2 linked regions of the Mus musculus genome follow. The protein of the gene in region 2 purifies or fractionates together with the protein of the main gene of each other region. This does not show direct contact. Links are inferred from orthologs where the notes say so. Each region holds a gene or a part of one and is shown on either strand. Other genes may lie near its edges.

Region 1 (3,648 bases), on a different chromosome or scaffold from region 2:
CCTGTCCCTTCCCAATTTCACCTCACAGCACCTCTGGTCAAATAGCCACCCCTGCCTCAGTCTGCTCATAGCTTCTTGTCTGAGGCCCTTTGCCTGCACAACTGACTCCATGTTGTCCCATAGCCTATTTTAACGGACAACTGACCAGTTGCCTCCTGTTCCCTCTGTGGGTCACCTGCCAAAAATACAAATCATGGGGCAACTGCTGATCGCACTTGCTTCCCACTGAGCCACAAGCTATGGCCCCTTACTCTTAAGGTTGATCTCAGTAAGCACTTGATCAACCCAAGGGATAAACCGGATCCAACTGGGTTCTGCAGGTACTTGTTCACTACGTCCCCACGAGGACACAGTGTCACAGCTCCAGGCAGATTGTACACTCAAGTTGTTGCTGTACCTGGACAGTCAAAAAGGATGTAATCGTCCTCGACGTGGCCCAGGCAGTTCTCCAGCCAGTCAAAGTTATTGGCAAAGTACTCCATGCAGAAGACCAGGCCTCCGTTGGGGCCGAACCGCAGAGACTCGTCCTCCATCACATCGTCCACCTCGATCAGCTCCCGGATGTCTGCAGAGCCAGGCAGGGACCAGAGTGAGTATCCACTTGGAAAACTAATCAACAGGTATATATAGATACACCCCTCACACATGGGGCTGGGACAACGACTCAGTGACTCAGCGTGCTTGACGCACCATCCTAAGGACCAGAGTGTGAGCCTCTGGCATCCATGGAAAAGCTGGGCCTGGCCGCACCTCTGCAACTGCAGTGCTGTGGGCAGAGACAGGAGGGCTGCTGGGGGCGGGGGGGAATTATGTCCAGGGTTCACAGAGAAAGGAGCTTTAGTTGAGGAAATGCCTCCATGAGATCCAACTGGAAGGCATTTTCTCAATTAGTGATCAAGGGGGAAAGGCCCCTTGTGGATGGGACCGTCTCTGGGCTGGTAGTCTTGGGTTCTATAAGAGAGCAGGCTGAGCAAGCCAGAGGAAGCAAGCCAGTAAAGAACATCCCTCCATGGCTTCTGCATCAGCTCCTGCTTCCTGACCTGCTTGAGTTCCAGTCCCGACTTCCTTGGTGATAAACATCAGTATGGAAGTGTAAGCTGAATAAACCCTTTCCTCCCTAACTTGCTTCTTGGTCATGATGTTTGTGCAGGAATAGAAACCCTGACTAGACAGAGACCCTGCCTCAAAGGTGGAGAGTGAGAGACCCAGACAGCTGACTGAGCATTACTGCAGAGATATCACACAGTAGAACACTTCAGACACAAGAGGGAGGGGAGCTCTTTTTTTTGTATTTTTTTGTTTTTTTTTTTCCAGACAGGGTTTCTCTGTGTAGCCTGGCCATCCTGGAACTCACTCTGTAGACCAGGCTGACCTCGAACTCAGAAATCCGGGGTTTTTGTTTTTTCATCTTTTTTTTTTTTTTTTTTTTTTTTTTTTTTTGAGGCAAGGTCTTAGACCAGGCTGTCTTAGAGCACAGAGATCTGCCTGCCACTGCCTCGTGAGTGTTGGAATTAAAGGCATTCGGTGCCACACCCAGCTTGGAGGGAATGCTCTTTATAGCATTAAGTGAAAAACTTAGTGCATAGAACTTCCTGTAAGAATCAGGTGTGCTTGCCAGGCAGCTCTTGGGAGAGTGGGGAAAGAGGGCTATACAGCTACAGAAGTCCACTGCACAGACTTTATGTGTACACTCAGTTGCTTATGGAGGAACACATCAGAAACCAGGGACATTGGCTACTGAAGGAAGCAGGCTTGACTGCTGGGCCACAATTCTGGACACTTCCTGCTCTGAGCTGGTCACAGTGTGAACCACTTGGCTATGTAGTGCCTATATCAAGAAGTCAGCTGAAATGAAGCCAACTGCTATCTCTTCACTTGATGACCAAGAAGCCAGTTAACTCCCAAGCCTGATTACAAGTTGGAGATGGGGAGGGGAGCACTCCGACTGGGGTGGGAGGATGGGAACTCTGTGACTGACTTCCTAAAAGGTATTCAATCTAAACAAGTCACCTTCTGTGAGGCCCCCGGGGGTCTCTCAAACATCTTTCTGCTTAAGGAAACCGAGTGCTTCCGCCACATGATCCCAAAGCAACAGCCTGCCTCCTCCTTTCCCTTTCCCCCTTTTCCCCTTTCCTTTTCTTTTCTTTTCGTTAAGAAGTATTTATTTATTATCCATAAGTACACTACTTGTCTTTAGACATCCCAGAAGAGGGCATCAGATCTCATTATGAATGGTTATGAGACACCATGTGGTTGCTGGGAATTGAACTCAGGACCTTGGGAAGAGCAGTCAGCACTCTTAACCTCTGAGCCATCTCTCCAGCCCCAGCCTACCTTTCTCTCTCTCTCTTTTTTTTTTAGAATTAATTTTTTTATTAGGTATTTTCCTCATTTACATTTCCAATGCTATCCAAAAAGTCCACATTACACTCCCCCCCAACTCCCCTACCCACCCACTCCCACTTTTTGGCCCTGGTGTTCCCCTGTACTGGGGCATATAAAGTTTGCAAGTCCAATGGGCCTCTCTTTCCAGTGATGGCCGACTAGGCCATCTTTTGATACATATGCAGCTAGAGTCAAGAGCTCAGGGGTACTGGGTAGTTCATAATGTTGTTCTACCTATAGGGTTGCAGATCCCTTTAGCTCCTTGGGTACTTTCTCTAGCTCCTCCATTGGGGGTCCTGTGATCCATCCAATAGCTGACTGTGAGCATCCACTTCTGTGTTTCTAGGCCCCTACCTTTCTCTTAAGAGAAGATGATTTCCACTTCCTCCCCAGCTTGCTCCCCAGCTCCACCTACTAGAGGGCCTTACTCCTCAAGAATGCACATCTGTGATCCCAGCAATCAAAGGCAAAGGCAGGAAGGTTAGAAGTATAAGACCCCATAGGAGGAACATCAATATGAACTAACCAGTACCCCCAGAGCTCCCTGGGACTAAACCACCAACCAAAGAAAACACATGGTGGGACTCATGGCTCCAGCTGCATATGTAGCAGAAGATGGCCTAGTTGGTCATCAATGGGAGGAGAGGCCCTTGGTCCTGTGAAGGCTCGATGCCACAGTGTGAGGGAATGCCAGGGCCAGGAAGCAGGAGTGGGTGGATTGGGGATCAGGGGGAGTGGGGAGGGAATAGGGGGTTTTCAGAGGGGAAACCAGGAAAGGGGATAACATTTTAAATGTAAATAAAGAAAATATCTAGCCAGGCAGTGGTGGCACACACCTTTAGTCCCAGCACTTGGGAGGCAGAGGCAGGCAGGTTTCTGAGTTCGAGGCTAGCCTGGTCTACAAAAGTGACTTCCAGGACAGCCAGGGCTATACAGAGAAACCCTGTCTCAAAAAAATAAAAAAAAAAAACGTTTTTGGATATGCCAACACCTGACTATGCTACTGAACTTCACTATGGAGTATATTACCATTGCAGAAAATTTGGTGAAGGTACACAGGAATCCTTTGTATTATTTCCCACCACTGTACTTGACATTGACTCAAAATCAAGCTTAGAATAATGACTTTGGAGAGACTTTTCAAAAAATTCTCCATTGCCTTTTACCAAGGTTCCACTAAAATACAAAAGTACCAGTGTCTCACGTAATGAAAACTGTAAGTAGTGAAGAATTATTTTGTGAATAATTAAGGAAGAAATAAAT
Region 2 (4,215 bases):
GTGTGCGCGCGCGCGTGCGTGAGTGTGTAGCTATGCGTGTATGGCTGCCTGTGGAGGGCAGGGAAAGGCACTGACTCATAGGAAGCTAGAGTTACACATTGCTTTGACCCACCTGATATGGTTGTGGGGGATTGAACTTGGGTCCTTGAGAATAGCCAGTGCTCTTAATCTCTGAGCCATCTTTCCAGTCCTTATTTTATTTCAAGGATAGGTTCTTACTATATTATCTAGGCTAGCTTTTCTTGGGCTCAGGCAATCCTCCCATTACATATGCCTAAGACACACACACTTTTTTGGTGACTGGCTAACATGGGTGCTGGGGAATGAGCTTTCAAAGGGCAGTACATGTTCCTAACCACTGAGCCAGCTCTCCAACTGTAACACACACAGACTTTTTTGTGTATGGTGTGCTGGGGCTGAAACCCAGACTCCACATCTGCCTAGAATATACTCTGTCACTGAGCAACACCTTCAGCTCTATAATTTTCTCCTGTTCATTTTTCTTGTTACCCTCCTGTGTTATCAGTTTTCTGAGAGCAAGAGTTGTCCTTTGCAATCCTCTCAACACTCTATTCCTAGTACCTAGGACAATATCCAAATCACACATTAGGTTTTTGTCGTTGAATAATTAAGTGCATACATGCTCATTCATGTAGCAGAGGCTGGAGCTACAGTTGTGAGCAGAAACAGGCACGTTTCTTTGCCTGGTGGTGTTCACCATTTAGAAGGTGACACTAAACACCTCTAAGACTGTATAATGTCTAAGCCTGGTGAAGGGAATTGAATTTGGTACTGTGAAGGTCCCACTGCAGTGAGGAGATAGGCTTCATTGAAAGTGCATGTAAAAGATGAACTAACCATTCCAAAATTCTCCATCTCTGGTCTTTGATTCTTCCCCGAACCTTTCAGAATCCCAAGCTCTTAAGGAAAAACCGCACCGCTCGGGTCGTTGATCCCCTAATGCACTGACCTCTGAGCAGCTCACAAGTCCCCGGCGTGTAACCTGCTTGCTTACGGCAGCGGCGGAACCCGGTTCCTTTGGTCACCGAGTCCACCCTTTCCTGGGAAGCCATGGGAGGGCCCTAGGAGGGAGAGAAGCAATGACTCGCCCTAGTTACGCTTCGCAATCCGGACCTCTCATCACGAGCAACCTGGGAGTCTGAGAAGCTGGTGCCCGACCCCTCGGCTCCGGACAGCGCAGTGACCACAGTCCCTATCGTGACGGTCCGGGGAGGAGCGCTCACCTTAGGCGATGACCTGGGCGTGACAGAGCCCTCCGCACGGAGAAACTCCAAGGAGCTAGAGTGTCAGCGTCCTCACTAATCGCTCCTTGTTACCATGGTAACTAGCGACACGCCTCCACGCACGCGCATTAGCGTCTGGTCGGCCGCTGCTTCCCGGAAGTAACTGCGCCTGGGTCACGGCGCAAGCGCAAACTACGCGTGGTGCGGCGAGGGGCAAAGGCGCGCGTTCTCTGCTCTGCGCCCCGGGCGGAGAAGGCATCATGTCAGACAACGAGGACAAGTGAGCACGGGCCACGGAAGGAGGGAGGTCGTGGTGCGAGCAGGGCTCTTGGAGCACAGGCTAGCCCAGCTGCTGGGTTGGTGGGGCGAAGTCTTCAGAACTTCCTACCTCGCGGAGCAATGGGGACAGTGGTCAGAGAGTTCAGTCCGTGTGGCCCCTGTCCTCTGAGCGCTCTCTTTCTGGAAGGGAATGCCAGAGGTGTGTAGCTTGTGTAGTCGTGGAAGTAGGAAGGAAAAAGCAACCCAGAGAATGGCCTGGAAGGCTGGGAGCAGACGCGGGCTTGGGCTAGGTGTGATAGTAGCAGAGGTGGCAGAAGTGGGGATAGACTCTAGAGAGCATGAAGTTTAGTGTTGTTTGAGGCAAGGCCTCACTCTGAAACCCAGGCTGCCCGGGAATTCACTATATAGCTAAGGCTGGCTTTGAATTCGACACAGTCCTCTGCTTCAGCTTCCCAAGTGTTGATATATCTGGCATGAACCACCAGACCCAGCTGGATTATGGACATTTTTTTTTTTTTTTTCCGAGACAGGGTTTCTCTGTATAGCCCAGGCTGTCCTGGAACTCACTTTTGTAGATCAGGCTGAACTCAGGAATTCACCCACCTCTGCCTCCCCAAGTGCTGGGATTAAAGGCGTGCGCCACCACCACCCGGCTGGACATATTTTTATTTTATTTATTTGGAGACCAAATATAACCTTATATCAGGTGGTTCGAACATAGAGATTCATCTACCTCTGCTTTCCAGGTGATTTTTGTTCTTTTTTTTTTTTTTTTTTCCTGAGACAGAGTCTTTCAACATAGTCCTAGCTGTGTCTGGAAGTCACTGTGTAGATTTGGCTGTCCTCAAACTTACAGAGATCTGCCTGCTTTCACCTCCTGAGCACTGGATTACAGGCGTGCGCCACCATGCCTGGATCCTGATATATTTTAAAGATAGAACCTAAAGGATTTCTTGATACGCTGTATATGTTAATCAAGAGAGAAGATGAACTATGGTAGTCCTGATAGATCAGTCAGAATTCAGAGTCTGGGCGTGGTGGTTCACACCTGTAATCCTAGCACTTGGGAGGCTACTGCAGGGGAATTGTCCTGAACTAGATGTCAACATAGTGAGTCTCAGGCCAGCCTGAGTTACATACTGTGCAGTAAGATTGACTTCAAAACAAGCATACAAAATACAGTCAAAAATGCAATGAAAGCAGAGATGACGGCGTTGACCAGGGCAGTGATTGCCACCAGAGAAGAGATGGTGAGTGAGTGACTTGGGGGGAAGAGAACCCAGAAAAGCATCCCCTCCCCCAGAGTGGGAGGCAGGAGGGAGGAGCCAGGTATGCTGGCTGTCCAGGGGAAGGGTTCAGCATTGTAAAGATCCTTAGTGAAGCTGGGGGTGGTGCAAGCCTTTGATTCCAGCACTCAGGGCAGAGACTTGGGGGGGGGGGGGGGAATCTCTCAGTTCCAGGCCAGCCTTGTCTGCAGAGTGAGTTCCAGGCCAGCCTTGTCTGCAGAGTGAGTTCCAGGACAGCCAGGCAGCACAAAGAGACACTTTTCTTTTTTTTTTTTTTTTTTTTTTTAAAGATTTATTTATTTATTACATGTAAGTACACTGTAGCTGTCTTCAGACACACCAGAAGAGGGCGTCAGATTTCGTTACAGATGGTTGTGAGCCACCATGTGGTTGCTGGGATTTGAACTCTGGACCTTTGGAAGAACAGTCGGGTGCTCTTACCCACTGAGCCATCTCACCAGCCCCTTTTTTTTTTAAAGATTTATTTATTTACTATATGTAAGTACACTGTAGTTGTCTTCAGATACACCAGAAGAGGGCACCAGATCTCATTACGGGTGGTTGTGAGCCACCATGTGGTTGCTGGGATTTGAACTTCAGACCTTCGGAAGAGCAGTCGGGTGCCCTTACCCACTGAGCCATCTCACCAGCCCAAAGAGACACTTTTCAATGGGGAGGTTGTGGGGTGCGATGATCAGTGAGCACAGGAAGGATGGCTGTGGAGCTTGAGGGTGTGGCGAAAGCCTTACTGAGGTGAGGCTCTGACTCGGGAAGTGAAGAATTGGAGACAGCGAGTTTGGGCAGCTCCCTCAGACATTGTGCACCACGGGAGGCTGATGAGATGGAGGAGGGGCTAAAGGTGAAAGTTTTGCTGCCCGAGCCTAACAACCTAGGTTTGATCCCTAGAGCCCCTGGTAGAAGGAGAGAACAGAAAAGGGAGTCTTGGTGGTGTATGTGGGCCTGTACGCGAGCACGCATCATGTGCACGTTAGCAATAAATAAGCATGTTTTTAGAAGCCTGGTGACCTTAGGCTATGAAAATGGCAATGTCACCTTGGTCTTATGTAGTTTTGTTTGTTTGTTTGTTTGTTTGTTTTCTCCACCATAAGGGAATATGGAATTAAGCTGTAGCAGGAGGGGAAAGAATAATGGTGTGTTGTTTGTTTGTTTTTAAGAGGGGGAGGTGATGCTGGTAGTGTGCTGGTGCTGTGAGTGCCAGCGGCTTCATGCATGCTGTCTACACACCCTACTTTTGAGTTACAGCTCCAGCCCTGAAGTACACTTCACTTGTTTTTGTTCTTGAGACAAAATCTCACTATGTAGCCCAGGCTGGGCTCAAACTCCTAGTTCTCTCACTTCCCATTTCCAAATGCTAGGAGTACAGGAGTGTGCTACCACCCTGGCAC

The links.
Region 1: the proteins of Polr2f (region 2) and Gpn3 purify together in Homo sapiens (affinity purification with mass spectrometry; 3 studies listed by BioGRID and IntAct, counting the BioPlex papers as one, with this or other methods). This does not show direct contact. The link is inferred for Mus musculus from reciprocal best matches to the Homo sapiens genes POLR2F and GPN3.

Annotation. Positions count from the first base shown.
Region 1 is NC_000071.6:122,375,384-122,379,031, reverse strand, and holds part of Gpn3 (GPN-loop GTPase 3), read right to left. Parts: intron 566-3,648; coding exon 398-565; exon of another isoform or gene 321-397; intron 1-320. UniProt on the Homo sapiens protein: Small GTPase required for proper localization of RNA polymerase II (RNAPII). May act at an RNAP assembly step prior to nuclear import.
Region 2 is NC_000081.6:79,139,911-79,144,125, forward strand, and holds the start of Polr2f (DNA-directed RNA polymerases I, II, and III subunit RPABC2), read left to right. Parts: upstream 1-1,414; 5' UTR 1,415-1,504; coding exon 1,505-1,524; intron 1,525-4,215. Other genes in the region: 1700088E04Rik (UPF0193 protein EVG1 homolog), read right to left, coding at 971-1,073. UniProt on the Homo sapiens protein: DNA-dependent RNA polymerase catalyzes the transcription of DNA into RNA using the four ribonucleoside triphosphates as substrates.